Linked DNA regions of Rhinolophus ferrumequinum. The protein of the gene in region 1 interacts with the protein of each later gene in a pairwise test. Links are inferred from orthologs where the notes say so. Each region holds a gene or a part of one and is shown on either strand. Other genes may lie near its edges. The genes, in order: IPO13, PBX4, PITX1 and PAX6.

Region 1 (8,017 bases):
TTGTACCTCCAGCCTTCTGAGCCTTCTCTGGTCCTTCCTTCTGAGCTCCAAGTCCATATTTCCCATACCTCTATCTGCACATCCTCTGAAACTTCAGACTTAACATATTTGTCCTGTAAATGTACTGTTCACTCCTTCAGATCCATTCTCCATGCTTCTCTACCCTGCTCTAAGCCACACATCAACGAGCTTGCCTGCTCTACAGCACCAACCTCCATCCAGTGACACCAGCCAGACACGTGAGCAACATTCTAGACTCCTTAAGCTCAGTCACTTCCCTTACCCATTGGTCCTCAAATCTTTAAATCTCGCAAGTGCATCCCCTTTTCTCTATTCCCAATGTTATTCTGTGGAGGCCTTCGTGATTTGGGGAATGGTTTATTCCCAAAACTGGTCATCCTCCTAACTGGTCTCTTTGAGGTCTCAACTGCCTCCAGTCATTCTCAAGCCTGCAGCCAGAGAAGTCAATATTCTCTTGTCATTAATTGAGCACTAACTGTCATGCACTGGGCTAGTTACGGGAATTCAGAGGTCAGCCAGAAACATGGTCTGCCATTAAGAAGACCATAGTTGGAGGTGGAGGTGGGGGAAGGGTGCCAGGTTTAGCAGATAAAAACACAGGACATCCAGTTAAACTTGAATTTCAGATAAACAATAAGTACTTTATTTTTATGTCTCATGCAATAATGGCTGGTATTCAAATTTAAGTTGGTGTCCTGTATTTTTTTTCTGGGAACCAAAAATGGGAGTAAACAAGTAAACAAAAAATGCAACCAACCGTCATAAGTGCCCCAGTAGAAGTATGACTAGGATACAGTTATGTGTGTCAGGGAGGGAGAAGACTTTCTACACTCACAAAGAGAGAGGACTCAGTTCCACCTGGATGGACGGGGAAGAAGAGCCAGAAAAGCCTTCATGGGGGAGGCAGCACTTGAGCTGAGGCTTGAAAAGTGACATATTTGCCAAATGTGAGTGAGGGGCATTGAGCCTGTACTGATTATCCTTTATCGCCTTCCTTATCTCTCAGCTTGAAATTCACCCTTTTCACTCACCATGCCCTGTCCATCGAGGTCTGGGTGTCAGCCTTGGGCAGGGGTTGGGGGTGAGGGCCTCTTCCTGGGCTCTCTATCTCATCCCTAGAACTCAGCTACTCCTAAATTATTTAGATTTCTCTTCACTTCTTACTAGCCGATCACTCTTTACTTCAATCCCATTACAGTTCAAAATTCTTATATTAAACTGTCTCTGTGTGCCTACTATGTGGTTTCTCCTGATTGGGCCCAGCCTGACACAGCCTTCTAAGCAGAGGCAGTAGCATGAACAAAGGCGGGGAAGTGTGGAACAGCCGGTGTGTCCCAGGATAGCCAGCAATTTCATGTAGAATTAGGGGGAGGCCCTCATCTAGGCTAGAGAGATCATAAAGATCCTTGAATGCTATACAAAGGAGCTTGGACTTTATCCTGAGTGGAGCCACTGAAGGGTTTTACGCGGGACTGGCTAAAGAGACGTTTCAGATGGATCACTGGCTGTTGTATCTAATATGAACTAGAAGGGCCAACGCAGCGGGCACCAGTTACAGCTGCTGCAGTCAGAGCCATTCAGGCAATAAATAAATGCTGGCCTTGATCTAGAGCAGAAGCAGTGTGGAAGGACAGACGAGACGTGAGGCACAATAAACAGGACTTGGTGACAAACTGGTGGTGAGCGCTTGATGAAAGGGAGGGTTTCCAGGGCTCTGGCTTAGGTGGCTGGCAAGGAACATAGAGGATGTAGTATTTTTAGCGTGTGATGGGGTAAGGTATGGGGGGGGTCATGAGTTTGTTTTTGTACATGTTTAACTTGAGGTGCCTGTGACACCTTCAGAGGGCAAGGACTCTCCGGCAGCTGTAACTCACAACAGTCTGGACCAGAGACATCTGGGAGTCACAGCTCCAAGCCAAACAAGTGGTGAGAGGTTGAGGAATAAGAAGAGAAGCAGAGGCTAAGGCCTGGAGAACCAACATTTAAGGAACAGAGAGAGGAAGAGGGGCAAGCCTGTGAAGGGGCCCAAATGGGAGTGGTCAGAGTAGTAGAGGAAACCAAAACAGAACAGGGGGAGGGAGTGGTCAACAGGGCCAAATGCAGCAGTAAAATCAAGCCACATAAGGGCTGAAATTGCCCATTGGCTTGTCTTGCAACATGGTAACCTAGGGACTCAGGCTAACCCTCTTGCTAAAAACAACTAGAAGTGCTAGACAAAACACATATTTTTAAAAATGAAATGCATCCATGAGCTGGTAAACATAAGAAATATTCAGGCCAAAAAAATAAGTGAAAGCAGGAAGCTACCAAGGTAAGCGAAGCTAAGTAGTTGGCTTTCACCTTGAGGGCATTTGCCTTACCTGGTGAACCCAAGCATTGGCTTGTGAGGGCTCCTGAGTTTATGGTGGAATCCTACCCAGAAACTTCTCCATAAGACCAGGACCCCAAAGGCTACTATCACGCTTAAGGATGAACTAGAAATAATCCTGCCCCTTTTCTACCTAACCTCTCTCCCTCAAACCAGGGGACTACAGAGAAAATTACTCACATTTCACCTTGGTGCAGTGGAAGTGGGGAAAACCTCCCCAAAATACTTAATTACAAGCAGCCCTTATTTAATTTTGCAAACTAAATCCACACTATTTTGGAAGGCTGAAAATCTTCAAATCTTCAAACCTTCAAAGAAGTTAATATGTCATAGTTATGGATTGCTAGTGGTTCCAGGTGACCAACAGAAGCTCCCTCTCCTCCTCTCCTGAGCTCTGGAATGCTCTCTCCTGAACGGGGAACCCCCTCCTAGAGTTGTCACAGGTTCTGGCCCCTATATATCCTACTCTTGTCACTCAGAGGACGGAAAAACCCATTTGTAACTAGCTCCCAAAGATTCATTCCTGACTTGGCTCTAAGTTATCGTGGATTGCTATCCACATCTCCTGAAGTCCCCTTTGATCTGGTACCCAGAAATGCCCTAACCCGCCTCAGGCCTATTTCAATCCGTCTGTCCTAGGTGATGTTTGTGAAGCATGTTCAGGAGCCATTGTTGGTGAAACTTGGCTTCTTTCTCTGCCAGGGGAACCTCCAGGGGCAAGAAGAAGCCTTGGATTGCAAGCAGAAAGAAAACGCATTCACCAAGTGGTGGTCTCTGGGCCCAGGCCTATTCATACACCATTTCATGTCCTTCATTGGAGAAATTCCTGTTCTCATTTTATTTTTAAAGTGAGTTTCAGAAGAAGTCAAGGTATTATGGCTAGAAAGAAGTACAGACAGGTTTTGAACATGGCCTAAGAGCCTTAACCCTCCCCGTCGTCCGCCACCTCCCACAGTAAAATCTGTTAATTATCAGGGCCAGGTCATTTCACAGCTCTAAGCACCCACTTGGAATCAGTTACTTTTTTGTGGCTTCCTGTTTCCTCCTTCCAAATCTCCCCTGCTTCTACTCTTTCCTCCTTCAATTTAGCCTACATACAACAAGTAGACTTTTCTAAAATGCAAATCCAGTCATCAGTGCTCACTTGAATCCCCATCATGGTCTCATATTGCACTTAGGATAAAGTCTAAACTCCTTCAAGAGTTTACGGCTCCCAACTTGTTTTTCCAACCTCACCTGTTACTCATCCCCTCCCCCTTCCTCACCCCACATACATTTTATCCCCTTAGCCTGAACACAAATTACTAGCTGTACTTCACTTTGAGAAAGATTTCTTGAGTGACTGAATTCCCACTGGACTTTGCTTATAAGCTAATCGAGTCCCCGTCCGCCCCAGTTTCTCCATTCTTCAAGCTCAGATCAAGTTTCTCCTCCTCAGGGAAGCCTGTATCCACCTTCTCAGGCCTCAGCAGCTATTGCCAACGCCGGCTTCCTCCACTGAGCACAAGTACAGAGGTCCTTTCCCTTTAGATGTTTCCCCACCCCCACCCCCGCCCCCTTTGGGGTAGCTGGCAAGAGTTGATAAAAGGATAAGTGGACGGGCACCAGAAAGGGGCTGCTGGGGTCTGCCGCCGACCAGATCTGTGGCTGCTCTCTGCTACCCTAGTTGAGTGTCCAGGAACAAGATAAGCTCAACTTTCCCCAACCTCAGTTTCCTCATCTAAAAATGGTGAATAAAAATACCCACCTCAGAACTGTGGAGAGAATTGAACCTAAGGTATGCAAAGTATTGTTCCTAGCACTTAAGTGTGAGCTATTCTTATTCTAATTACTCGTAAAGAGAAGTTGCTTCCAAGAAACTTATGGAATTCTCCGAGCACTGTCCATGGTATGCGGTTTCCCGGTTGCTCAGTGGGTGATTCTGAGAGCCGTCCTTTTTGATTCCTGAGGCGCGCCAAGCCCCCTTTCTTCTCAGTGGTGCTGACGCCTTCTTCCCAGACGGCCCCCAGGATGTACCCACAGCGGAGCACTAGAGTGCTATGCCCCCTCCCCCCACACACACTTACTTCACTCCCCCAACACACACACACCTTATCTCCAGGTGGGAGCCTGTCTGGGCTCCCACCTCCATCCACCCGCCCCTCGGGAGTCACACACTCTTAGGGAGCTGCTCTGCAGCTCCTCCCGACGGTTTGACTGGGAATGTCTCAGTGAGCCTGGGACTTGCGGGGCTCCGCGGGTCACCAGCCCACGTGCTCCGGTCTCAGTCGCAAGGCGCCGCCCCCCACCCCCGCTAGGCGCAACGGACTATATTTCCCAGGGTGCGCAGCGGCGGGACCTCGGCTCGGCAAAGGCCTCGAGCGGCACGCCGCTCCATCGCCTGCTCGGGGTCGCGCCGGCTGGCGCGAGGACAGGACCGAAGACCCGGAATGAGTTTCCGCGCAGTTCCGCTGGGCAGTGCCGGGCTGTGCCGGGCCGGGCCAGGGTAGGCGTAGGGGAGGGACGGCGTCTGAGTCGGCTTTGCCGGTGACAGGCGCTCGGGGCAGCCCGCGCCTTGCTGAGGTCCCCTCCCCATCCCCGCCGGGCCGGCTCGTCTGTCAGTCACTGGGGCGGAGGCAGAGGCTGTAGCGGGGCCAGAGCCGGGCGGTGAGCAGAGCGCGGGCCAGGCCGAGCGGAGGGGACCTGCCACAACCCCTCAACATTACGGACTCTTCGCCCCAGACTGTCGCAGCTGCACCCCCGCGCTTCGTTGGAACGCCTCCGTAACCCGCGAAGGGCTCTCTCCCCCGTGACCTCCCACCCCCGTGACCTCCTTATAGGACCCAGGAGCTCACTCAGACGAGGGTGTTGTGGGTACAGGCCATCGACCCTGTGACCCCTCTCGGGCCAGGGGCTCGGTTTCCCCCATAGGCCTCCCTCCCTTATGACTCCCTCCTCGCAGATTCTGGGAACAGAGCCGTGACCTACCACTAGGAGACCCCCCTGAGAACTCACTGACGGCTTCCTCCTGAGTCCCCCTCATTGGGTCTCCTCCTAAGAGCACCCCTTTTGCTTTCTGGCAAGTCCCCCACTCCCAGCCGAGGTGGGGAGACCTCGGCAGCCATGCCCGCCCTGGGTCCTCTGTCACCCCACCACTCCCTGGGCACCCAAGCCGGGGTCTAGCAGGCGGCCAGCAGCCAAGGGGCTGGGGCAGGAAACAGGTCAGGGTCCACCTCCCTGCTGGGGAAGAAGCAAAGATGGAGCGGCGGGAGGAGCAGCGGGGGGCTGCTGGGGCTGGAGAAGCACCAGCCCTGGACTTCACTGTGGAGAACGTGGAGAAGGTACGAGGGCCCTGGGGTGGGCACTCTAGTGACAGAGCAGAAGTTCTGGGGACTGACACTGATGCCAAGGCCCAGGCCTGGGCTGAGTGCCCGCTGGGATGGTGCCCCCAGGACACCTGGCATTTGCTGTCTCTCTGGGCAGGCAGGAAAGCAGTGTTACAATTTCTAATGGGCTATTTATGGCTTTCCTTAGACATTGGTCCTCTGGGGATAGATACTCTAGGGTCTTGGGATGGTCTCTCCAGAGTGCTGATGGCTTAGACCTCCAGCCAGACTGGCTATTCTCCAGCTCCGTGAGAACTGCATGAGCAGTGCAGTAAGAAACCAGGAGCCCAGGAGACCTGCAGCTTAGTCCCCAGGAACCATACTGATGCTGACCCATCCTGGACATGTTTTGTTGAGCCAAGGGTCTCAGAAAATAGTCTGGGACTAAAACAATCTGGATTGTGTTTTCACTCTTTCTTGGAGAAAGGTCCTTCCTTTATTGGATGGAGGCCAGACCAGCCCTGGGCAGGCAGGAGTAGGGCTGGCCCCCTTTGTTTTGTGCTGGGCCCAAGGGACCTGGTCCTGCTGGCAGTCTCGGGGTTCTTTCCTACTCACCTGCCCACATGGCTTCCTGCCATGGAACCCCCAGACTCCCCCACTGCAATCGTTTTTGAAAACTGCTTTTCTGGTTGTTCTCTTCTGGGTTTTACCTGCAGAGGCCTGAAATGTAGAAATGCATCCCCCCCAAGCACCCCGCCACCCATGAATGGTGAGATGGGGCTACCTTGCTGCAAAATTGGCAATGGTTGCAGATATTCATTTGTTATTCTTGAGCCCTGTTTGCCATACCAAATGGTGAGGATACATCCCTTCTGCTTCTGTTCTCTGCCTGCCTCTGCATCCCCAAGGGACCAAACAAGGACAATGACCATAACTGGCCATCAGGGGACAGATATGGCCTAAGCCTACTTGGATGGAGACTGCTTAGGGAGTCAGAGTCCTGGCCTCACTCTTCCACCGCCTGGGGCTGGGCAGTGTTGGCATGGTGGTGCACCGTTCCATGTGCAACCGGGGAGTTAAACCTCTGTTTTCTTACTGTGTGAGGTCGCAGTGGAATTGGGACCCTGGGGATTCAGCTAGTTGAGAGCTCCAGGCTCTCATTTGCCAGGGCTGAAGATCAAGACTTCTCTGGACCAACTTTTTGGACCCTTACGTGCGCTCTCTGAGGGGTGTTCTCATCCTTCTCTCCAGAATGTCTCTGTCGTAGGCTGCCTGGCAAAGTCTTAGTCCTGCTCAGATTTCACACTGGCTTTGGTGCCAGCATCTGGAGTGACCTAGTGATGATCCTGGGGGAGCTGAATGGAGCTTTTGGAGTTGATGGGAGCAGCTGTGTCTGGGAGGGTCGGGGGGGGGGGTCCCCCTCAGGCTCTTCCATGCTTTTCTCGGGCTTAGCTTCATTCCTGTGGAACCATTCCTTCCACCTGGGCCTCGTCCTTTACCTCAAGTGCCCCCTCCCCTTTGGCGAGCTCAGCCTTCTCTGTTTTAAATTAATAATAATAATATTATTATTTGCTTTCTTGTGGAGATTCACTCTTTGAACCCATAACGTTTTGCTATAAGGAGAAGAGAATATGGTAGAGCATGGGCCAAGTTCAGGTTCTTAAGATATTGGCAGGACCCCAGGCTCATGAAACTGCAGAGCCCTCAGCTCTCCCTTCCTGCTCGGCCCTCCAGTCAGAAAGAGAGAGCAGTCTTGCAGGACCAAGTCATGCCCCCGTTTCTGGGCTCGGGCAGGGTCCAAAGTGGCCAGCATCTGCTCAGGCCTGTGCTGTCCTGCAGGCGCTGCACCAGCTCTACTACGACCCCAACATTGAGAACAAGAACCTGGCTCAGAAGTGGCTGATGCAGGCCCAGGTCTCCCCACAGGCCTGGCACTTCAGCTGGCAGCTACTGCAGCCCGACAAGGTGCCTGAGATCCAGTACTTTGGGGCCAGTGCCCTGCACATCAAGATCTCTCGCTACTGGAGTGACATCCCCACCGATCAGTACGAAAGTCTAAAGGCACAGCTCTTCACTCAGATCACCCGCTTCGCCAGTGGTTCCAAGATTGTGCTCACACGGCTGTGTGTGGCGCTGGCCTCACTGGCTCTCAGCATGATGCCTGACGCTTGGCCATGTGCTGTGGCAGATATGGTACGGCTCTTCCAGGCTGAGGACTCGCCAGTGGATGGCCAGGGCCGCTGTCTGGCTCTGCTGGAGCTGCTGACAGTGCTGCCTGAGGAATTTCAGACCAGCCGCCTGCCCCAGTATCGCAAAGGCCTGG
Region 2 (7,378 bases), on another chromosome or scaffold:
AATAGGCAGAACGACTTCAAGAAGGGTCAGTCCTCTTCAGCTGCTTCTACCAGAACGTCGGGTATGGAGCCTGGGTCTCCATGATGACACTGCTGACCATTTTTGCCTCCTATTTTTGATCGGGTTTCCAAAACTCACCCCTCATCCATTCCTAGCTCTAGAGTTTTCATACTGACTTCTTAGGAATCTCACTATTAGGGCAAAAAGCATTCCATCAGCCTTTGTGATCAGTGAAAGCTTCAAATCAGAAGATGAGGAACTATCCCTTCTCCAGGAAGAGGTCAGGGTGTAGCCTAAGGTCACAAGATCACTCAAGGAGACTGGTCGCCACTTACACAGACAGTCTCCAGCTGACTTGGGCTGCATCTAAACTACGATGGTGCATCCCAAAGTTCCTGATATCGCTCCACTATCTGTGTAGTCAGAAGGAAGAACAATACACAGTGGCTATCCTGAGACTAGTTAGCCATAATGACAAAATAAATTATTCAGCAGCCCTTGGAGCTGCCTCCCTGATAATGTAGAAAGATGTAAGTAAGACACAATCTCCCGTGGGGGTGTGTGTGGGGGGTGCAGAATGATCTCAGGTTGATAATCTCACCAGGCTGCAGAGTGTACTGAGGAAATGACCCATCCAAGCTGTTTGCTCCAGAGTGGTATACGCGGCCCACCTGGGGACTGACTGTTGTCTGCACTTGTGGGACTTTTAGGGCTTAGAGTTCATCTAAAGGCTACCTCCAATGAAGAGGGGCAGATCTGAAGCTTCCAGATCTCAAACTAAAAGCCCCAGGGAGTCTTTTTTACCACAGAAAGAAATCAAGAACCAGCTAATCTAAGAGCCATGTTGTCAGCATGTATAATGCCCCACTATTCAATTTCTTAGCCTTAAAAGAAGAAGAGCTGTCTTCAAGAGCAGCAAGGAAGAGGTGACTGACTGCATTTTATTCTAAAGCCTGTCTAGGGGAGTCTCAAGAGATGGCTACAAGAAAACAGCTTTGTGGCTGTGCTGTGGCCTGAGGAAGGCCACAGCTGGGCAGAGCTCATTGGTTAAGCAACTCTCCCCCCAGAACAGAAGAAACACAGGTAGCGCCACAAACCGAAGAGCACCGGGGTATGAAGAGCCCATTCCCCCCTCCCCCACGTCCTGCGAATCCTTCCAGAAGCTAAGTGCCACAAAACTTTATGAACGCTATTGTGCACAGCTCTGGGAATACAAAGGAAAGTACAACAAAGCCTCTGCTCTCTGGCTAGTCTAGCAAACAGGGCATCACACAAAGACACCCTCTCCCAGCCCAGCTCTTTCGTGCCCAGAATTATCTCTACTCAGCATATTCTTGATATAACTATTTATAAATTCGTCTCCCACACACCCTGCTTCTCAATGAGTTCCAAGAGGGCAGAGAATATCTTAGCCATCTTGGTTTCTCTAGCACCTAGCACAATGCTCCAAAGAGTAGAGTGAACGTGGTTGTGGGGTGACACCCCTAACCCTCAGGTAGAGGTTATGAAACTGCAGAGTTGACTTTCCACAAGAAGTAAAGGAAAGGACGAAGAACAAATGAATGCTGTATCCACCTTTTACTTTATCTCCTCTTTCCTGGGGCTGAAAATAAGACCTAGCCGCACCGTCAGCTCTAATGCGTCTTTTGGAGCAAAAATTAATATAAGACGCGGTTTTATATTATATTATATAATACCCGGTCTTATATTAAAATAAGACCGTGTCTTATATTAATTTTTGCTCCAAAAGACGCATTAGAGCTGACGGTCCGGCTAGGTCTTATTTTCGGGGAAACACGGTAGTTTTTTAACCCCTCCTCACTAGAGGGCTCTAATGACTGCACAGTCCACACCACCAGACCCTGATCCCATTCCAGGGACCATCCTTCTCCCCCAAACAAGCCCCCATTCAACAAGGCCTTACCCTCCAAAAGGACTTTGGTCCTTTCCTAGTTTCTATACAGTAGTACCTCGGTTTTCGAACGTCTCCATTGACGAACATTTCGGTTTACAAACATCATAAACCCAGGAGTAAATGCTTCGGTTTTCAAACACGCCTCGGAAGTCGAACATGTCACAGGGCTTCCACTGAGTGCAAGATGCTGAGGCCTAGCTGTCGGCTATTTCCGAACGTTTCAGAACTCGAACGGTCTTCCGGAACGGATTACGTTCGAAAACCAAAGTACCACTGTCATTCCAGCAGGTCCCAAACACAATGTGCTGCCTTTGTGAAGCAGAGTTTACCAATCCTGGCTGGCTGACAGTGGTGAGTGGGGGTAAGAGGGCAGTGGTCTTAAAACTGCTGTGATTTTCCCATGGCAGCTGAAAAACAAACAAACAAAAGCCTCAAACTCTGAGACTTGTAGGCTCTGTGTGATCTGCTTCCAGCCTCTCTCCAGACTCAGCTGGGGACTTTCAGTCCTCGGCTCTGCTTTCTTTCTGCTGTTTCCCACCTCCGGGCCTTTGACGGTGCTGTGCCTCCTCCATCTGGCTCCCCACTGCATGCCATCCCTTTTCTTACTACAGCTTTTCTCACAATGTATACTTAGTGTTTTGCACTTACGTTCTCTCCCTCAAACCATGAGCTTGAGAACAGCAACTATGTCAGCACCCGGCTAGGTGCTCTGCATATAGTGTTTAATGAATATTTGCCAAATTAAATAAAAAAGCGTCCTTCGCTTCCACCCAACTCCCCCACTAACCACTTTTCCCGACGGTTCCCACAACCGCGTCAACCATCTATTCTTTCCCAAGTCCCACAACTCACTCTCCTTTATCAGCCCTCAAAACTTCCCACCCTCACGAATCCCACTAACCCATCCATTTACACCCCAACACTTCCCTTACGTTGCATAAACCCCGAAACCACCTTTCACCATAAACCTCCCCATCTACAAACTCCCCTTAAACCCACCCCTTTCGCACCAAGATGAGCTCCTAAAACCCACTACCCTCTGCTTACCTCCATCGGCCGGCCGTTCAATCCGTTCCATTTTAACCCCATAAAAACCTTCGTCGTCCTCCTCAAGGCCCCCACACCTGCCATCCCGGCTCAGAGACGCACCCCACAATCTCGCTCAGCCCTCTCCTCAGCTTCACACCCCATGCCGCCCGGGCTCTGGCCCCTCGACCCGCCCCCTTCACGGCCTCCACTTTGGGCGGCCCCCGCCCCCGAGCAGCACCTGGCCTGCGCCTCCTCCAGGCTCTGGTCCGTGATGGCCATGATCTGCTGCAGGACGTCGCCCGTGTCATGGCCCGGTGGGGGCCCGGGCGGCGGGAGGGACGGGGCGGGGGACGGCAGCGCGGGGCGCGGCGGGGCGTCCATGGACTGTGGGGCCGGGCGGGCGCTGAGGAGGAGCCGCCGGGCCTGGAGCACTTGCGCTCGCGCCGCAGCCAACCGCCGCCGCCGCCGCCCCTGGGGAGCAGCGCGCGCCTGGGCCGGGCCCCCGCCGCCTACCAGGCCGCCGCGCACCGCCCACGGACACGCCCCTAACAGCTCCCCTCAGCGGCCCAGGACTCGGTTAGGGGTTGCCGAGGCAACGGCATTTTCCACCCTCCTCTTGCCCTAGAGAGGGTGAGGTTGGCTCCGCCCCATTTCAGAGGCCCCCCCACCCCCATATCCGCCTCTCGCATCTCCTCAGAGCAGCAGCTCCCGCTCAGAACCTCACTCCTCAATCTCCACTCCTCCTCAGAGCCCCCACTCTTCCTGAGGCCCTCATATCTGAGCCTCCCACTCCTGAGACCCGCACATCTCCTGAGTCCCCCTTCTCAGAGCAGCTCACACGTCCTCAGAACCTCCCATGGCTCTCAAAACCCCATCCATCTCCAGAAGTCCGAGCCCCAGACCCCTGCTCAATCCCCTAATGCTCCCCTCAGCCTCAGCACCATCAGGTGGGTCACTAGGACTCCCAGCCTCCTGGTTCCTCCCTGGGAGCTTTCCACGAGGCGCACAGGTTTGTGATGACGGTGGCTGGGAGATTAGAACAATGATTTTCTCAGCTGTAGAAGTCAATTCTATTCAGCTGTCAAGATCTGGCTTAAACGCGACCTCTCTCATTTATTCATTCTCTTTGCAGCATTCCAGGCCTAGAAAACCCTAGCACTTGGTTACCGAATGAATGGATGCTTCCAGAAGACCTACTTTGTGATGCACCCCAGAGTGTGACAGAAAAGGAACAAACTGGACACGAATTACTTCTCCAAAGTAATGGGACTGCCTTGAGCTTGTTTGCTCTGAGGGCAGACTCCAGATGGAGGCTCATAAAAGGTCAGCCTGGCTGCCAACCCTTCAGGGCAGGGTCTTTTTCCCATTGCTGCTGGAGAAGAAACGCAATAACCATCTGGTGTGATTTGATTGGGGGACTTCAAAAGAGAGAGCAGGGAATGGAAATGAATGATGTGGGCCAGTGTAAGAACAACTTTGAAAGCTCCCTAACAAAGGAAACCCCCCACTTTGCCCCCATAACAGGAAGTACTAGAACATGTGGGCACCATAGAGAGCAGATGCCGTGTACAAAATGTCAGCTAGCTGCTGGCACAGCACTTGCACAGGAGGCCTGAAAATAGTGGGTAACTTTGGTGTCCTTCAGAGATTGAGGTGGGGGTGGGTGGGTGGGTAAGTGTTTGAAAACTTCAAGGACCAGCAGAGATGAAAACTTGAAGTCACCTGGTAGAGAAGAGAGATCCACAAGAGGAAAAAACTGAAGGGACAAAATCCCAAAGGATATTTAAGGAGTGTGAGTTAGAATCTGGAGGATACTGATTTGAAGAGTAGCCAGCTCAGAGCAAGTAAAACACAGAGCTGCCTTTTGGAAACTACAGGAATTGCTTGGCTGCCTTGGCCCCCAAAGTGACATGTCTGTCAAAAAGCCCAGAGCTCCATGGAGGCAAGGACGGCATCTTTCATGGGCATGTGGCCAGGCACATGGTGGAAGCTGCTGGCTTATCACCTCTGGAGGCTCAGGCCTCAGGCCCTAGGAGCCATGCTGCCCACCTTGGACCTTGGAGAAGCACCCAGTGCCCCAGTTCATTTTGCTTCCTCACAGAGCTGCCTTACGGCAGGGGGTTTTCTCGAAGGGAATCCCAGCCTCATTTAATATAGAAGGACCTAGATGTTTTTGGTTCTTTGGCAATGCATACTTTACTACTTTAAGAATTTGGCCGCTGATGGAAGGCCTGGGTTCAAATTTGGCTGTTATTCAATGTGAACGTGAAGTGGGTCATCACCCTGTCTCCTGGTCTATACCACGCTTAGCTATGAGCATCAAAGAGGGGGCTCATCATCCCGAGTATGGCATGTCTGAGGCCTTGGGGGGCAGTGAGCTGAGGGGAAAACCAGGCTGAGCTTGTGATCAACTCCACACTTTGTGGGAATCTGAATCCCTTTCTCCAGGGGCCTCTATAGTCCCTCGATGCATCTCCGTACCCTTTCAAAGCTGTGTACCCATGGGCCAGATTTTAACCTCTGAGCCACTGTCCTCACGTGCAAGTAAGTGTAATACCTGCAGGCAATGATGAAATAATGCACCTAAAATGCTTGCCAGTGTGCGGGTAACATCAGAGGAGCCTGAGAAATGGCAAATTCGAATTTTCACCCTGCTCCATGGACGCCAGTACCTCTGGCCCATAAGTGTGGTGTGCAATGGGATGGACACACCTAACTGGTAACAACCTGGACTCGGATAAAAGGGCAGGTGGGAGAGAGAAGACTCACACAGGCCACAGAGTACTCTGGGTTCCAGAGAATGGAGACAGGCAGGCAGCAAGTTGGAGGCAGGGGAAGAAGTGGAGAAGACAAGCAAGAGGGAACAGACGCAAGACTCCAAGAGAGATGGAGTGACAGCCAGTCAGAGACTGAAGGTGAATGAGAACAGGACTGAGGAGATGCCATGTGGAAGGATCCCTGCCCGGCTAAAGCTGAGGTGGACAATTCTGCGACACAGCAACAGACTGAGTTGATCACAGAAAGTGCTTTGGAGACCTCAGAGGAGGAAGAAGGGTTTACTTCTTAACATGCCCTTCCCCCATGGAAGCCCTTAAGTCTAATGGGGACAGGCAAGCTCCAGAGGCTGCAAGGGGCCACACACCTTTCCTAGCTCCCACTGAGCACCTCTCAGTCTGTGCCCCTGGAGAATCAGCCTGAGGCAGATAGAAGGTGTATCCACGGTCCGTCTTTGTTTTATACTGGGCAGCGTGGCCTGAGAGAGACCTCATCTCTCCCACCTTTAACAGCCATACCACCACGGACAAGGAAAAGGTCCACAGGGTTTACCAGGGATGTGCAGTAAAAACAGGAAAATGTTCATTAAAAACCCCACAACCTGAGATCATTGAAGAGCCAGATGCCCACACACCCACAGGCCCTGGAGTAGAGTTGTATCTGGGAAGGCCTGGCAGTGGTGTCGTGCCATCTAGACCAAGGGTCTGCCTTTAATTCTGTCCCTCAGATTGGGTTGAGCCAGGCACATCCACGAGTTGTCAGGGGTGCCATCTGGTACTTGCTGCATCCTGTTGAAGTCCAAGGTTGGCTAAAGGGTGGAGTCCATCAATGGGTGGCCATTCTCAGGAAGCATGATGCGAGTGCTGGCACCTATCCGGGCAGAGGATGCACAGCGGGCGGACTCGCGGGTGGACTGGCGCAGGCACAGACAGCAGAGGAGGCGGCGGAAGGTGCGGCGCATCTCAGCATCGCGGCACGAGTACACCACGGCATTGACCAGTGAGTTGGCCTCAGCCAAGAGTAGGAAATACTTCTCCACAGCCAGGACATTGCAAGACTTGCAGTCCAGACCATCCAGGAGCAGCACCACCTGGGCCGGTGTCCAGCAGACCACAAATGCCCCTGTGGGATGGAGCCTGAGGTGAGCAGGGTCAGCTGTCGGGGGGCCTGGCACCCACGGCTCTGAGCTCAGGACTGGAGGGGTATCGAGAGCTTGGACAGGGGCTGTGGTTTGCAGTGCCAGGGTGGCCTGTCTTGCTGCCTTGGCAGCATGACAAGGCAGAACTGCTAAGAGGGGACACCTTTCTCTGATTTGTCTGTTGGAAGGGACACCTTTCCTATCTGGTACGTGGTGGCTCTAGCCCTGGATGTTTCTACACGTACGTGGAGGATTGTTTTATGGGGGAAAGGAGGTCACTGTGGGATAGACCAGTTACTTGGTGGGGAGAAGGGGATCACTGGGAAGAGTTGCTCCTTGTTCTTGGGGTGTGTGTGTGTGTCCTAACAGGAAAGCCTCTTGTCACCTCCACAAAGACCACCCTACATTTCAACAGCCAGAGTGACCACAATACTCCCTACTAGAAACTCTTAAGGGCTTCCCACGGAACTCAGAACAAAATTAGACTGCCGTCTGTGCCCTTTGAGGCCGTGCTGACCTCC
Region 3 (7,841 bases), on another chromosome or scaffold:
GCATCCAGGATTCCTGGCTGAGCGGAAGCAGCCCCATTCCGAGGAAACATCAATATTTCATGGGCAGCTCCCTCCTGGCCTCCAATCGTGTTTTCAATTGTCACGAAACAATTCAGAATTTCCAACTCAGGGCTAATAGGCTGCCGTCAGCCGGTCAGCCCGAGCAGGCAGGAGTAATTATTTTAAAAGCTTCCGACAAGGCTGTTCGGCACGCCGCCTCCCAAACTGTGTGCGGTAGTGGCTGTGCCCCTTTGGACTCTGAGCTCCCTGTCTCCCCTCCCCTCCCCCACCCCACGCAGCAAGCAGACGTCTGGAAGGCACTGGCTGCAGAGCCTGTGAGGATGGGAGAGACAGACCAGGCTTACAGAAGGGTAAACCGAGGCCCTCTTAGGGGCACGTCTAGAAAGGCAGGGGCCACACGTCTTACTTTCGTATTTCCCACACCGACCTGTGGCCTCCTGTGCTCATGGTGGATGGATGAACTGATAAACAAAGAAAAAGATGGATGGAGTGGCTGAGTGAAGGACGTTGCAATACTCTGTTCCTCTCTTACCTCCTGAAGTCCATCCTCCACTATCCAGGTAGTGACCGTTCTAGAATCTACAGCTGACCAGACCTCTCACTGTTTCAACCCTTCATCGGTTCCTCTTTGCCTTCAGGATAATATCCCACCCTCCTAACGAGGATTATGAAGCCCTGTGGTATCTGCTACCCACTCAATTCACCAGCTTCTTCTTCCCCCATTCTCTGCCTTTCCACCTGTCCCAGTGCTATCCCACAGAGGGGTTGGTGGCGGTGGAAAGCTGTTCCAGACAAACTCAAGGCCTGTATGTCACTCAGGGCCCTTCAACACCAGGCTTCGGATTTCCTCTCCAGCACTGTGCTCCAAATACGTTTATAGGTTGGTGTGCCTGCCTCCTTGACTCAACCCAAATGAGCAGGAGCCAACCGTCTTTGTATCTCTGCCATCTCAGGCACAGAATATGTGCTCTTTAAACTTTTGCTGACCTGAAAGAGGCCAATCCAGAAAGGTCCCAAACCAGGGCTCTTTCCACTAGTCCATGCAGATGCTGATAGGTCTGCAACGAAAAAAATTACTTGAGATATCCAAATGGTTTCTATTTTTGCTCTGGCTGCCAGGAAGCTCAGAGTGCAATATAATAATGCTAAAATAAATTAATATCTTATCTGGTCATAAGGATTCTTCTCTAACTTTAGAGTCTCTAACTCGCTCCTCACAGATGACAAAGGGAACACAAATAGATGCCCCCCTCGCTCTGTGGATTCACCGCTGTATGTGAGTCAACAGACTCTGAGCCACCTCTCAGACGTTCCGGTAGCCCTCCAACCCTCCCACAGATGAGCGCAGGAACAATCCTGATGGACTTCAGACTCTCTCAACAGAGCCAATGCCTCCCCATCACATTGGAGTGGACGCCCTACTAACTCCATCAGCAGCCCGAAGAGAACCTTCACAGGGAAGGGACTTCTTTGCAAAGCAACCCATTCCCTGCCACCAGCAGCTCAGAGACCTTGTTCCAGGACAGCAACCAGTATTCCTCAGGGAGTGTGGTAAGTATTTCTTAAGATGGTGGAGCTCCCTTTTCACCCTTCTGGGGTGGAGCTTGTGACCGTAACCTGGTCATCCGCAGTCCTGAGCCACTCTTCCCCAAAAAGTGACTGGTTCAGCAGTGGGCATGTGAGCTGCACCTAACCAGTCAGCAAAACCAAATCCCTCCCCCCCCCCCAGGGAGTGTCCTATGGGTGGCAAGAGAGGCTCGGCTCTGCTCTCAAGCTTACAAAGTGGTAGGTGGATAACAGGTTTCCATCGATGATTACACAAATATTGATTTCAATACCATGGCTACAAGAGCGATGAAGGGAAAGGACACACTCCCTATTTTCACTGAATATTGAGATAAGAAACACAGCTCGAAGAATTGTTACGCCTGTCCGTGGAACTATGGCTGAGGACATTTGCCCATTATGTTTAGTACGACCCACGTGACAAATTCATCTCAGAGTTCCGTACTAGGGAGAACAACTTTTGATTAGAGGAAGCATGTCAGTTTGGAAGGAAACACAAAGCAAATGTGTCAGACAATTTTGCTGCCCTTTTTTGATTGGATACCTGGAAGCTAAAGTGATATTCAGACTGTGTTACTTCTGTTCCTGGTGGTTTCAGCTCCAACCTTCCTCTCTCTGACTGATCCCTCTTCCTTTGCCAAGATGGCGAAACCTAAAGAGAAATTGTGAAAAATTATTTTTCAAAGAAGTGAAAATAAGGTAATAAAAAACGTGTTTTGACCCACCTCAGTTCACCAAGAATTTCCAGGCCATCACGTGCTGGTCCCACCCCAACGGCTTGCCCAGCTTCCCTGGTCTGAAACTTGCTAGTAGCTAAGCAGGGGATGAGGGGTTTGTCAATTAAATCAAAGAAGGGGGCTGCTGCTGCCTTACTCAACCAACATGACCACCCTGGGGAAAGGAGGAAACAAAACTGTGAGCAAACTGTTTTAAAGAGCAAAGCAACCTGGCAGCTACCAGCATGAACATTCATCCTGGCTGCCCACCCCCACATAGGTCCGCACCCCTCACCTCCATCATCTCATAGATTTCTCTATGCCGTGGAAACTCTTATTATTCTCCCATTTCACAGATAGGGAAGCTGAGGCTGGGAGAGCTTATGTGATTTGCCCAAGGCCACAGAGCCAGTAAAAGACAGAAACAAGATTCCAACTCTGGCCATCAGGTCTCAGAGGCAGCTTTTTGGCACCACAGGCTCTGCCTGGGAACAAAAGCACGCAAAGAATCACACACACATGCCCAGTCACCACTGGGAAGACAACCAGGAAAATCACCAGTGTGCAGGGGTAAGAAGGTACAGTTTCCTAACACAAGCGCCAGAGTGAAAGCTTGATGCTTGCTGGGCCCTCCATACACAGTAAGGGTCCAGTTGCATTATGTCGGAAGAGGCCCCGGGAGCCTGGGGTGTGGAGGGGAAAGCTGCTTGAGACAAGGTCGGAAGAGTCTCAGCTTAGCAGCTCTGGGCCAGACCCGCCAACAGACCAGTTCCTCACATAAAACAGCCCTCGTAGCAGCAGGAGAAGCAGAGGCTAGAATTCCTGAAGTGCAAGCTCCAAGCTTGTGTTTCTGCCACCCCGGGACCAGGTCTGAAATCACGGGAGCCAAGGACTCAGCTCTTAACCCTTCCAGTCTTGTGTGCACCAAGCCACACACACCCACCGGAAAGGTGTTCCCACTGTTGAGAGTTGAGGGGACGCTGTGGATTACCCAAACAGCAGGGCAGGGTGCAGGGGCCAACCCTCGATCTGAGCGCCAAAGCCTCCCGAGCTTGGGTCAGGCAGGCTTCTGCTTTGGCTGTCAGGAGGGGGTCCTGGGTCATCCTGTTCCCGGGCCAGGTGGCCCTGGAGGCGCGGGTGAGCAGGGCACTGGGGCAGGCGCGGGGGCCGTGGCCTCTCACAGCAGCTGTTGGTGAGAACCAGGCAAGGAGGCGCCACCGATGACGGCACCTCATGAAACATTGATGCCCGGCCGCCGCACTGCCATCTCCCGGCACCTTGAGCCAAAGCTGCCGCCCTGGAGCACCGCAGCCTCCGGCGGGCAGGCCCCACACTCCTGAACCTGAAGGTCATCGTCCCCTGACAGTCTGACCAGCAGACCCACTGTCCCGTCCCAGGGCCCAGGCTCACACTGGGCACTTGGGGGAAGCAGGAGCCTGTTCCACCGCTTGCTTCCCCCACAAGGCTTCCCGCCGGGTTATCCGGTCATAGGCAGTCCTGGAGAACCTGGTGGCCTGGAGAGCACCCAGTCCCCCTCATTCCTGCCCAACTCCCAATGGCCACCAGCCAGGGACAGGACAACGGGGCCACATGGATTGCATCCTCTCCAGTGTGAGGGCCTGCCAGCAGGGCGACCGCTGGAGGGTGTGGAGAGGGGCTGGACGAGGGGTTACAGAAGCGTCTGTCCTTGTGGGGTCGGTCTCCCCTTTCCTCGTCAGCCCAACCCCTGAGAGGAGGATGTGGGAGGGGGGCAATCCTCCTAGCAGGGCAGGTCGGCCAGTTGCCCCTCCCCAGTCACACACACACACACACACACACACACACACACACACACACACACACACACAAACCCTGGGGTCTGTCCTCAAACCTCCTTGGCAGCCAAGCTCTGCTCCGAGGACTCTCCCTGCCAACTTGCAAGACCAGCTCCCTCCCGCAGAAAGGGGAAAAGGTCGAATCGCAAAACCCGGCTTGACCGTCACCTGGCAGGACCCTGGGAAACTCCGACCAGACCCGGACTAAACGTTGGTCGGGCTCGGCCCCTCACGTGCCAGGTGGGAAACTGAGCCCAAGGGAGAGAAAGTACGCGGGGCCTGGCCAGGACTCGCCGTGGCTTCGTCCGCATGCGGCCGGGCCCCTCCTCCATGAACGCTGTCCTGTGCTGCGTTCGCCGTCCTCGGGCCCCGGCCATCAGCCACGCCGACGACCCCTGCCTGCGCCTCGAGGGAGGCCCGGACCCCTAGCCAGCCGGACTGCGCGCCGCCCCCTCCCCGCTGGTCCAGGCAAGAGCCTCGCTTCCCCTCCCCCCTTCCCGCCTCCCAGGCCCGTGTCCCCGCCTTCCCCGCAGGCGACGGGTGGCGGCGGCAGGAGGAGCGGGCCCTGCCGAGGCAGCCCGGACCTTGCTCACTGGGATGTAGCGAACCAGCGGGGACCAAAGCTGCGCGCACAGCCGGGGACGCAGCTGGATCCGGGACCCGGCCGAAGTCGAAACCTAAGCCGGAGTCCGTGGCGAGCGAGCCCGGAGCCGACGAGCCGCACACGCAGCGCAGCCCGGGTCGGGTAAGAGTTGTTGGGCTAGGGGCGCCGGGTCTCCGCAGTGTTGGGGCGCAGGGAGGTGGTGGCCGAGTTCTGTGCTGTTTACTCCGCGAGTATGTAGGGACCAGCCAGTGGAGCGGGACTAAGCACATCGCGCGGAAGGCCAGGGTCCATCGAGGCAGCGCGAGGAGCTCGCTCCTACGCCAAGCGCACGGTCACAGCTGCCATCACCGGGCGCTACCTCACCTAACCGGTGGGCACACCCTACGCTTCAGCTCCGGGTAACCCAAAAGGGCAGCAGGCTCAGGGGCGCGGGCCCCAGCCCTGCGAAGGGCATAGCCTTGCATGTCTTTCACAGCCCCTCGTGGCGGCGCGGGCCGCAGGGTACCTCCGGGAGAAAGGGCCGGTGACAGGGCCACCCGCCGCTCCCCGTTGCGCCCGGGAAAGGGGCCCCAACACGAACGGAAGCGTTGGCCCCTCTGCACGCCGAGGGACTTCGGCCTTAGCTTCGTGTCAAGAGGGTATTTTTCCTAAACGAAACCGCTTCATTCGTTCGCTCGTTCGTTCCGGCAGCTATGCCGCAGAAAAGCCTCAGACGTGGGCCGCAGTCCCGGCGCTCTTCGCCGAGGATCCCGACGTCCCACCGCAGTGCTGGAGGCGCCCCAACCCCCGGCGGCCTGCCTCGCCGGCAAGGGTCGGGCTTTTCCTTACCCTAAGAGAAACCCCAAATGCTCTTCGCAAATCCAATAAAGACATCCCCGCGGCTTCTTCAGGGCGCAGTGGTTGACACAGGGAGCCTAAGCACGCAGCCGCTTCTCTAGACCCGGGTCCGGAATTCTGAAATTGAGCAGCCTTCTGAATCTGAGCGATTTGGGCCGCGCTAAAGCAAGGGCCCCGTGGGCGGCATCGCAGAAATGGGGATCCCAGGCTGGAATCCTTGTTCCGAGGTTTTCCGATTTAGGGATTCCCTTAATCTAAACTATCTGTGTCCACTTTTCTGAGAAACTAAGGCTCGGGTATTCTCTTGGCATTCCCAGTGGTCTCTGACAGCCACCAGGGCCAGAGGGAAGGCAACTCCAGGTTGCTGTCCACTTGGTCAAGGACACAGGTCTGGGGTGATGGCAAAAGCTACAGGCAGCAGGGGCAGCACAGGAGGGGACTTGCTGGCCCCTGCCCTTCCCTCACTGCTTTGGGACTCCTCATCTCTACTCAGAAAAGTTAAAAAGGTGGACGGGGACATGGAGACCAGGCTACCTGGATTCTAGGACACAGAGGTGGTATTTGCTGACCTTCAAGCCAGGCTCAGAGTGCCTTCCTCTCAGGAAAGCGGCTGCTGGGAAGAGGAGACCGTGGTAGCAAAAGCTGACCCTCTGCTCCCCAGGTGTGTGACAGCCCCTGCCACTTCCCTAGCCTTCTCTTCCTATCAGCTCAGCTGTTTTGGGGAACCAGATAGCGACCACTGGACTGGGGTGAGCTGTGAGCCCAGAGAGCGATGGGCCCTTACCAGCTGCTGACTGAGCGTTCTGAGTTCCGTGCTCCCATCTCCGCCCCATTTAGCCAACCTGGCTGAATACTTCTCAGCTCTTTCCCCACCAGGACAGGCTGGGGAACCCCAACTGACAGGAAGTTTCAGGCCGGGGTCCTCTGAAGCCTAAAGAATCCAGTAAGATTGTTCCCAGCCTCTACCTGAGTACCTCTTTTCCCCTCACCCAGTAATTGCTTCTATTCAAAGAAACAAAAGCTTTTTTATTGGGGAGGGGGTCTTAAAACCAGGCGGAAGGCAGTAGGTGGTCCCGTCTGCACTCCCAAAACTGGGTTTTCTAGTTTGAAGTTCCCCACGGCCTAAGAGGCTTAGGGCTGGAATGTCCCAGAGTCACGGATGGCCCCAGCGGGCGTGGGGGGTGGGGGGCAAGCCATGGCACATTCCTTCCCTTTTCCTAAAATCCCTTGATTCTGGCGCAGAGATTAGGGCGGAGTACCCTCATGAGTGGGTGGAAGGATGCCCTCCATGAGGACCCTCCAACCACCCTTCCCAAATAAAATGACGAAAGCATTCTTGGACACAGAGTCTGTTTTGAGTGAGACCAGCCTCAGGAAGGGTCCCTGTGGTGACGCTTCAACCCCCACTACAGCCCAGGCTCCTCTCTGATCAGCCCAGCCGGGACTCTAAGCCCCAAATTTCCTGAGAGTCACAAAATCATCGCTAACTCTGTGTGGCCTGGAGCCACGGAGACTGGGGCACATGGTTCCAGCCCCAGTAAGCCCCCTTCCCTCCTCTCCACATGTCCCATCGTCAAGCGGGCTGGAGGCTGAAGCAGAAGGCAGGGATTGCTGTGTCCCATGTGAGACAGGGGAACTGAGGCACAGTGCAGGTCAAACCTTGCCCAAGGTCACACAGCAAAGCCAGGGGAATACTGGACCCCTACATTTACTCCTGAAAGAGAGCTGCCTCCTGTTCTGTGTGTTGGTGTGACTTATCTGTGAGAGTGCAAGAAGCCCCTACACTACCTGGGATGGTGGCCAGTGGAGGGTGTGGCTGGGGAAGCAGAGAGAGAGTGCCCTGGTCCCTTCTCCAGCCAACACCCAGGATCAGGCCAGGGCCTCCTTTTTATCCATCACTTCCTCGCCGTGCCCCCACCCCATTCCGCACTACCTGTCCAGCAGAACAGACTCCCCAGGGAAGTTCCCAATAGTGTCAGCCCCTCTCTAGGGCTCAGGGCCCCTGGAGATATGGAGCTTCACCTACAATAGCCTGAGGGCCTTTCCATCCACACAGCAGGCATCAAGACTTCCAAATATAGGGAGTATTGTGACTGCCTGGGTCATTATCAGAGGCTTGGGGCCAGAGGGGAACACAGCAGGTGCTCAATCACTGCATCAAATGGATCAATGATGAGGGATGCAAGCCCCTCAGACTGAATAGCTAGACCTGCAGAGTCATAAAAGAGTCCCCGTCCATGGAAGTCCTGACCCTTTAGAGCCTCTGAGGAGTGAAGAGCTGTG
Region 4 (8,020 bases), on another chromosome or scaffold:
TTTCTAGTTCACCCCGCAGCCTCGCAGAGACCCGAGCGCCGGGAAGCAGAAGAGAGCCGGGAGCCGGCCGGGTAGCGCCTCCAGGCTGTGGTCACGCTCGGCTGGAGAGAGCTGCGGTGCCCTCGCCTTACCTCCCCTCCTGCCAAATGGCAAGTAGGTTCGGTCCTCTTCCATTCACATTAGGAGGCAAGCGTCTCTCTTTCTCTACCTCTCACCCAAACACTTTTTAAAAATCATTGTCCAATTGTGTTTCCTAGCCAAGAGATCTCCGGACTCCTAAGCCTTTGCTTCCCTAACTCTACATGCTGCTGTCCAGATGGGGACCAGGTTTAAAACTCCTGATGTGTGGGACATTTGAAATTAGTGGTACTCTCTGATTTTTGCAAATAGGGTTCCTAGGAAAGTTTGCTTTCCATTTTTGTCACTGCGACGGTTCCCCAACTCTCTTTTCACTGTAACCTCCGCCCTCAAGAGTCAAGAGTTCAGCTTCAAACGAAAAGAAAGCCAAGGCCACCTCAGTTCCTTCTCGAGACCTAGAGATCCCTTCTCTAAACAGCTGCCTATTTTAAAGGCCAGGGACCGAGTCTAGCATTTGTCCTGGCGTGGAGCAGGGAACACGCGGGCCGGGAACTAGGGGCTTTGCTGGGGGTTATGAAGCTGGGGGAGGGGGAAGGAGCAAATGTCATGGCTGGTTCGCTCGAGCAGCCAGGGAACCGGAGCTAAGCGTATCCTGACGGGCTCTTAAAATGACATTGATTGGGACAAGCTGTTCCCCACCCCAGTAAGAGTTAATCTGCCTGTTAATCAAGGCACTAAGGGGCTCAATGCGAGTTTTATTAGCGATTGGAGAATAGAGGCAGCAGTGAGGGATCAAAAGCCGGGATCCCACATATTTGTCAGCCCGGTCACCAAAAAAATAAAAAATAAAAAAATAGTATTTTCAATTAGAGAACAATTCGGCGCTTTTCATCACTTCCTAACTCAGTCTCACAGATGGTGACTTACAAACCTGGCCAGCGGGGAAAACTGAAGCCCGGGGGCAGCCGGGGCGAGAGGCGGGGAAGGAGCGGCAGGTTGGTTCGAGGAGTCCGGCCGGGAAAGTTTAAGAATCCTCAGCCTAGGCCCTTGAAGCCTCAGATTCCTCCCGAGATGAGAGAGAATGAAAAATAAAACAACATATAACACCACCAATATCCGTGGCATCCCTTCCTCTGGGTGAGCTCCCCACCGCTCAGGCCAGGCTCTGGCGCCGGGTGGTGTCTGGCCTCCGCGCGCGGCAGCCGGACCTGCCAGAAAGTTTGCGCAGCCAGAGGGACTCTCTTTCCATCTCTCCCGCGCTGCCCCCTTCCGCCCTGGAGGGGCGTTAAGCTCCCTCCGGTTTTCCTTTAAAATTCTAAAATAAATAAATAAGTAAACGCCAGGCCCAGGGGATATTTGAATAGTAGCTCGTTCTATAATTCAAATTACTTGAGAGGGTCCGAGGGAAAAAAAAGACCAGCCAACCACATACGCCCTCCGATTAAGGAGGGCACGGGAGTGAGAAGGCGACAGAGGAGGTCCCCGGCTTGCTCTGGGCGCGGCGCGAAGACTCTGGTCAGAGGCAATTATGTCACTGCGTTTTCTCGCCGTGACAGCCCGAATAAACACAATCTCCAATAAACATCTCTAATGAGGGAGGAGGCCCGAGGATGGCTGGGTTTGATTTATGACTAGAGGGGAAGGTCCACTTCCCACAGCTAAGTGGGCAACCTGATCGCCCCTCAACTCTGGAGAAAGGAACCGAGGAGAGGACCCAGACTCAGGTAAGGTGCTCGGCCGGGTGGCCACTTCTCTCATTCCCTTGCTTCCCGAGCGAGGTGGGCAGGGGTCGGCCACCGCTCGGAGTTGGGCAGTGGTCCCAAGCACCTGTCATAGGTGCCTGAGACACAAACGTCCTCCAAAGATGAACACCCAGAACCTCTAGAGAGGTGGCGCTAGGAGCAAAAGTGGGAATGAGGGGCGAGCTCCGGCCTGACCTAGAGGCCTCCCAACCTCCGGGCGGGTGCTTCTGTGCCCAGGCGTTCCTGGCTGTTTGAGGCTAACCTTCTGCAACTTTCGCCACGCAGAACCACGAGTGAGTCTAAGTATGGGGTCTTCCCTTCCCTGACCCACGTTGGAGAAACTTCTGGAGCCCGGCTTGGGCCATCCGGGGGCAGGAGAGTAGTCGGGCGCTGTTCTCCCCGGCACTCAGCGGCCCGGCCCCCCTGGCGCTCACAGGCTTCCCACCGAGGCAGCCAGCGCTGTGCCGGCGGTAACCCGAGCCCGCGTTCTAGCTCAGTGAGAATCGCTAATTATTAGGTCTTCCGAAGTGAAGCTCAAATCACACGCTGGGGGCTTTACGCGCTGCCCAGCTCTGCCGGCAGCATTCTTTAGTCCTCCGCTCCTCTCTGAGAAACGAACTCCCATCTCTAGGACTTTGTTTCCGTCCGACCATCTACACTTTGCAACCGCGGGAAACTTTTGCTGCACTTCGCCGGGTCCGCGACGGGGCGTTTCCACAAGCTCCAGGCGCGGATGGGGACGTCTCCACGCGTGAATGTTGTGAATTGTGATTCGGGGTGTTCTAGGTGCAAACTGCATCCCCCCCACCCCTGCATTTCTCACGGTAGCGAACGGCTTCTGCAGACAGTAGCAGATCCCGATCTCCCTCTCCCCGCCCCCCTTAACCCAGCTCAGCACCCAACTGGAAGTCCACTCTGGGGACTGAAACATTTTGCTACTTTTGCAGAAAAACACGCTAGGCAAAGACAAGACGCCCCCTCCTTCCCTATCTGATTCCGCCCCCTGTAACTCCCCTCCATCTTTTATGCCTCCTTTTAAAAGCAAAAATCAAGCTCCCGGGCTACTTGGGGCGGGTTTGGATTTGGGGGCACCAGTCGCGGGCAGCGGAGAGGCGGCGCGGGCCCGGAGCCGGGCGGGGGCCGGAGCCCGGGCGGTTACCTGGGAGCGGAGGGCGGGGAGGCAGGTGAGCCTGGCGGCGCCGGTTCCCACAATTCTCACCGCCGCTCGGCAGGGGAAGTGGCAGATCTGACAGCCGCGTTCTACGCGAGGACCTGCCCCAGAGTTTAAATGTCAATGATAAGAAAAGAGGGTGCTCAAGCAAGCGCTAACTTTCCTTAATATCCATGCCAGCGCGGTTCTCATTGGCTGCCCGGCACGCGTGACGTCATGGCGGCCAGAGTTGGGCTCAGCTCCGTGCCCACCAGCGCTCAGGCCCGGCGGGAGCCTCTTCCTCCCCACCCCGAATCCGGCCCGCTCCAAGCCCTGCGGTGGCCTGCCTGGGCCCAGCCCTTGGCTGCTCACGCCCAGCCCAACCCCAACCCGACCCGCTCTCCCTTAGGGCGTTGAGTCACCCCAAAGAAACTAGTCCTACTAAGTACGCTCTTCCCTCCTGGAACGTGGGTCCCTCCTCTCGGCTGGCCAGCTACCTTTCTGGGTGCCCACCTGGCCCCCTCCTTCCATTCCCGAGGGAGTCACTTTATCAGAGACACACCGGGGTTACACCGGGGTTGAGAGGGTCCTCTAGAGGAAATCGTTTTCAAGAGGAGCTCAAGGAGCGATGGGTACCCTAAAACTGGCTTATAGGCTTACAAGTCACCAGCTAGGCACAGACGGGGATCCCGGGAAAGAACGAGCGAGAGCGATTGCTTCTCTTAGGCTAGGCCAAAATCCTCTCCAGGCCTGCTGGTTTTTTCTGAGGGGAGCCACAAACGGCACCCTCCGCTGGCTTCTCGCGCCTCCTTGGGTTGAAAGGCTCCAGTCACGTAGAAAATGTAGGTGATTTTATTAATCTTTGACTTGGGGGGTTAACTATTGACTCTGTGGCCTAGAGGAGGAAAATAGGAAAGTCCCAAATTCTGAAGTCAAGATTCCCCTTCCCGGGGCCCAGGAAACCACAGAAATTGGGGCGGGGTGGGCAGGATACTGACCTGGTGGTCTGTGCTTGTTTTCCCCTTACACCCAATGTGGATTGGGAGATACGTAATTTAGTCGAGCCGGGCATCTTGGGATGGGGACCTAAACCCGCGTTGTGATTCCCGGGTCTCTCCCTCCTCAACAGGGGAGGAGGCTTCTCAATGTCCATTCCCTTCGTTCTCAGCCTCCATCCGAGTCTCCAACTTGGAAGTGACAGAGGTCCGTCAGGGAGAGCCAGGGACGCTTGACGAGGTGGCAGGAGGGGAAGTGGTGGGGCGTGGATTGGCTTTTAAGCAGCTCGTGGGACGCCTAGCCCTGGTAGACCCGGGCGTGTGTTTCTTGAGGCTAGGAGGTTGACGCCTCGGCGGCAGGAGGCTCCAGGACCAGTTCCTGTTCGCCTTGCTTGGGTGGGTGCGGCAAAAGGAGAGCGGAGCACAGATGGCGCACGAGAGGTCGAGAGGTTCCCGCTCCCGCCCCGGGCACACCTGGACAGGTGTGGGGCTTCGCAACCAGCCGGGAGGAGGCTCCAGGCAGTCTGCCTACTCGCTCCTCTCCACTGGGCCAGCCAGCTCCCTGACTTGATTTTTTTTCCCTCAGCCCTTCGAGGCCCTGAAGGCAGGATAGAAGTGAAGAGGAGAATGGGAGAATAGACAGAGTGGTCTAAGCGTGGAGATCTTCCTTATTTACAACCGGTACCCACTATTTCTCCCCATCCCAACCCTCAGGTCTTCCAGTGTCAGGGGCCAGGAACATCCATCCTACCGCCCTCCACTCTCATCTGAGCCAGAACCCTGCTGTGGTCCTGTCTCCCCAATCCCAGCACTGCTGGGGAGTGGTACTCAGAGAGGTGTTTGCTAGGGTTTCTCCACCGCCACCAGCCTTCTCTAGTGACCTAGTTTCTTGGCAAGAGCCCTAGCTCTTCTCCAGGACCTGGTCCAGCTTTCGGCCCCAGATGTCCGAGGTCTCGCCCGCTCCAGGGTTTGCCTTACAGTTTGGACTGCGTGTAGGCCCCGGGGCTGAGCAGGCCTCCTTAGCTCCGTAGTTGGTGTCACCAGCTCTCTCCCCACCCGCACCCTCTGTCCCGAACGGAGGCCGCCGGGAAGGCTGCTCCGTGATTGTTTGTAGTCCGGGCCATTAAATGTGTGCGGATCCCTGCAACCCGGCAGGGTGCTCAAGAGCGACGCTGGAAACGCCACGGCCCGGGCCTTCTTATCTGCCTGTCAATAAAGGGCGCGCTTGGGAGGCGCGGGAACGCGGGGCGGTGGAGGCGAGGCCTGGCTAGGCCCTTCCGCGCTCCGGGCCAACGCAGGAGCCGCTCTCCATTTGCCCCGGGCACAGAAGACTGGGCGGGAGGAAGCTTGCGCCGGGGTCGCCACGGGGGAGGGTGCAAGTTCAGCTGCTGCCGAAGATTGGTCTCCGGATAGCTCTGGACCCGGGAGCCTGCCACCTGCCTAGGGGGCGGCTGGGCCCGGCCCGGCCCATAGTAGTGCTCAGCCTGCGAGGCCCGGCCTTGCCCCGCCTGGGCAGAGGCCGACTCTCTAGGCCGCATCTCCCAGCAGCGCGGGCGGCTCCGGGGCGTCATCGACGACTCGTAACACAGGGATGCGGAGTGCAACAGGAGGCGGGCTGTACGTGGGGTGAAAAGGTCCAGAAACAGGAATCCCCCGATACCTAGGGCAGTCCCAAGCTCTGGTTATTCACAATAGCAGTGAGTGAGCTTGGCAGCCGCCGGGTGTACGGGGGTTCCCTGGCCTAGGACTGCCGGGAAGCCCAGAGCTTCCCCTCCAGCTCACCAAGGCGAGGTGGGGAATGGGGAAAGTGTGAGGGATCTGAGATAGGGGGTAGGAGTGGAGGGGAGTGGAGGAAGGGAAGGAGAAGAATGGTTCGAGAGCAAGGCTTGAATGGAAGGAGAAAGGGACGGGAAGATAGATCCGTCCTGGGCTTGAACTGTAGCTGATATATGTAGTTCTTGTCCAAAGTATCTCTCTCTCTCTCTCTCTCTCTCTCTCTCTCTCTCTCTCTCTCTCTCTCTCTCTCTCTCTCTCTCTCTCTCTCTCTCTCTCTCTCTCTCTCTCTCTCTCTCTCTCTCTCCTTTATGCAAATAAAGCAGCTTCCAGACTGGAAGCCTCTCCTCCAGGATCTGTGCTACAGGGTGGGTGGGAATTGATTTAGTATTTGTCTTTTCACTGAGAATGGATCTGGCCATTCTAGAAACAATTGAAAGTAAAAAATGGATTTTTCCACTTAAGTATTTTAATTTCATTTTACTAAGTCTGGACATATTCCATCCTGTTAACTTCTATTTTTAAAATTATTCCTGGGAGGGTACTAATTTATAAAAGGGTTTAATACAAATCTTTTGCATAAAACAATAATAGAAAGAGAGGGAAAAATCCCTGACTAATTGAGAAAAATACTGTGTATTGCATTATTTCAAATAGCTGTACAAGACAGAAATCCATATATTAAACTTAACGGGCAGTGCATTTGGCTCTTGCTCTTTCTTCCTTCCCCTTCACTTCCTTCTCCTTAAATGGCAAGCTTTTTAAAACAAGATTTTGTTTTAAATAAAAACTGGAGGAATGTTTTGTGAATCTGAGCATTAAAAAAGGAAAATATTTAGCGAAGTTAGTATTTGCCATTTCTTCACTCAGGTCTAAAAGACTGCATAATGGCATGGTTATATGCAGTATTGTGGTATCTCTGCTGTTCAATTATTTTCCTGCTCTCATTCAAAGAAATATTTCGGTTCCTCTCCTGTCCATTCTATCCCATCATAAAGTTTTCCTGGACATTTGGGAAAATCTCCGAATCCTTCCAGTTTGCTTTCCCACTAAGAAAATCCTGATTACAATCAATTTGAGAAAACTCTGCTTTTCCTTTCCTTCTCAACATTTTCATGTGAAGTCAGTCAGTCTATGGCACCATGTTTGATTTCTTTCTTTCCCTTGCCTGGGTGGGGACAGAGACATTAGCTGAATTCCCTAAGGGTGATTGGATGCAATTCTCTGAAAGTAGACAGGCACGTCCTGGATGTTAGAAATTCACTTTTTCTCAACGTGACAAGGCCGCCTTCGATCTACAATTGTATTTGAATGGGCAATGAGCGGAAAGATCTCTCATCATTAAGCCTGCTTCTACTTTAGCAAAATAAGGAGAGCCTCATTTGCACACAAATGCGCATAAAACTGGGATTCCCTGCAACTCTTTAATAAAAAGGGATGGCTGCGTAATTTAAACTGGAGGTGAGAAGGCAGAGAGAGAGAGAGAGAGATGGGGGTTTCAAAGGCATCCCCCTTCCTTCCCCCAAAGGACCATGTGATTGAGTTGACTTTTTTTACTTTAAATCTTAAATAAGATGTGAGTTGTAACAAGAGGATTGGCACTTACTCTGTGACCCTTATAATTGGATTAAATATAGACTGAGACATACAAAAACACACCAAGATTGACACCTGCCAACTGGACTTCATTATGATTGATTGTGATGCTTCGTGCTGGCAACAATAATGAAATAAATTGTACGGATAAAACAGCACATTTGTCATTTCCGTGCCATGAGTGAGGAAGTCAACGAGTTAGGCAAGCTGTTAGCTGACAGGCGCAAGCGGGAGGCAAGCTAAAGAGATAAATAAGGATTCCAGGCATTGACAGGACAAATTATAACTTGTCACAACCTTTTTAAATTCAGAAGTTTTCAATTAACATATATATCGCTGTTACATATAAGATAAGGGGGGCCCCCGACCTAAACACAAGGATACACAGGGACACGCCTCACCTCACCAACAGCTTGGGCACCTAGGCCTCTCCTTCTTGGTTCTCAGGTGAGCTCTGGAGTGCACCCACCAGCCACGAGTGCCCCGCCAGTCCACAGGCGCTATGGGCCTCGGTAAGGTGGGTGATGGTGTGTTAAGCTAAGGGGTGGCTCCTCCTTTTGTTTAGAAGCCAAAATCGTGGGTCCAGTACCCTTTCTTCTCAGAAGCAGAGCTCCCAGCCGAAGCGATAGCCTGAGCAAGGCCTGGACCCAAGTCTGGCAGGACCAGTGATGCTCTTTTTGCTTCCC

Evidence for each region.
Region 2: the proteins of IPO13 (region 1) and PBX4 interact in binary tests that used the Homo sapiens proteins (3 or more experiments, as listed by UniProt). The link is inferred for Rhinolophus ferrumequinum from reciprocal best matches to the Homo sapiens genes IPO13 and PBX4.
Region 3: the proteins of IPO13 (region 1) and PITX1 interact in binary tests that used the Homo sapiens proteins (3 or more experiments, as listed by UniProt). The link is inferred for Rhinolophus ferrumequinum from reciprocal best matches to the Homo sapiens genes IPO13 and PITX1.
Region 4: the proteins of IPO13 (region 1) and PAX6 interact in a two-hybrid assay, tested with the Homo sapiens proteins (2 studies listed by BioGRID and IntAct). The link is inferred for Rhinolophus ferrumequinum from reciprocal best matches to the Homo sapiens genes IPO13 and PAX6.

Annotation. Positions count from the first base shown.
Region 1 is NC_046292.1:31,055,459-31,063,475, forward strand, and holds the start of IPO13 (importin-13), read left to right. Parts: upstream 1-4,765; 5' UTR 4,766-5,625; coding exon 5,626-5,709; intron 5,710-7,533; coding exon 7,534-8,017. UniProt on the Homo sapiens protein: Functions in nuclear protein import as nuclear transport receptor. Serves as receptor for nuclear localization signals (NLS) in cargo substrates.
Region 2 is NC_046301.1:51,959,990-51,967,367, forward strand, and holds the start of PBX4 (pre-B-cell leukemia transcription factor 4), read right to left. Parts: upstream 3,373-7,378; 5' UTR 3,326-3,372; coding exon 3,183-3,325; intron 3,022-3,182; exon of another isoform or gene 2,963-3,021; intron 1-2,962. Other genes in the region: LPAR2 (lysophosphatidic acid receptor 2), read right to left, coding at 6,528-6,841.
Region 3 is NC_046307.1:10,741,858-10,749,698, reverse strand, and holds the start of PITX1 (pituitary homeobox 1), read left to right. Parts: upstream 1-4,476; 5' UTR 4,477-4,862; intron 4,863-7,841. UniProt on the Homo sapiens protein: Sequence-specific transcription factor that binds gene promoters and activates their transcription. May play a role in the development of anterior structures, and in particular, the brain and facies and in specifying the identity or structure of hindlimb.
Region 4 is NC_046294.1:25,536,943-25,544,962, reverse strand, and holds the start of PAX6 (paired box protein Pax-6), read right to left. Parts: upstream 3,116-8,020; 5' UTR 2,980-3,115; intron 1,803-2,979; exon of another isoform or gene 1,575-1,802; intron 1-1,574. UniProt on the Homo sapiens protein: Transcription factor with important functions in the development of the eye, nose, central nervous system and pancreas. Required for the differentiation of pancreatic islet alpha cells.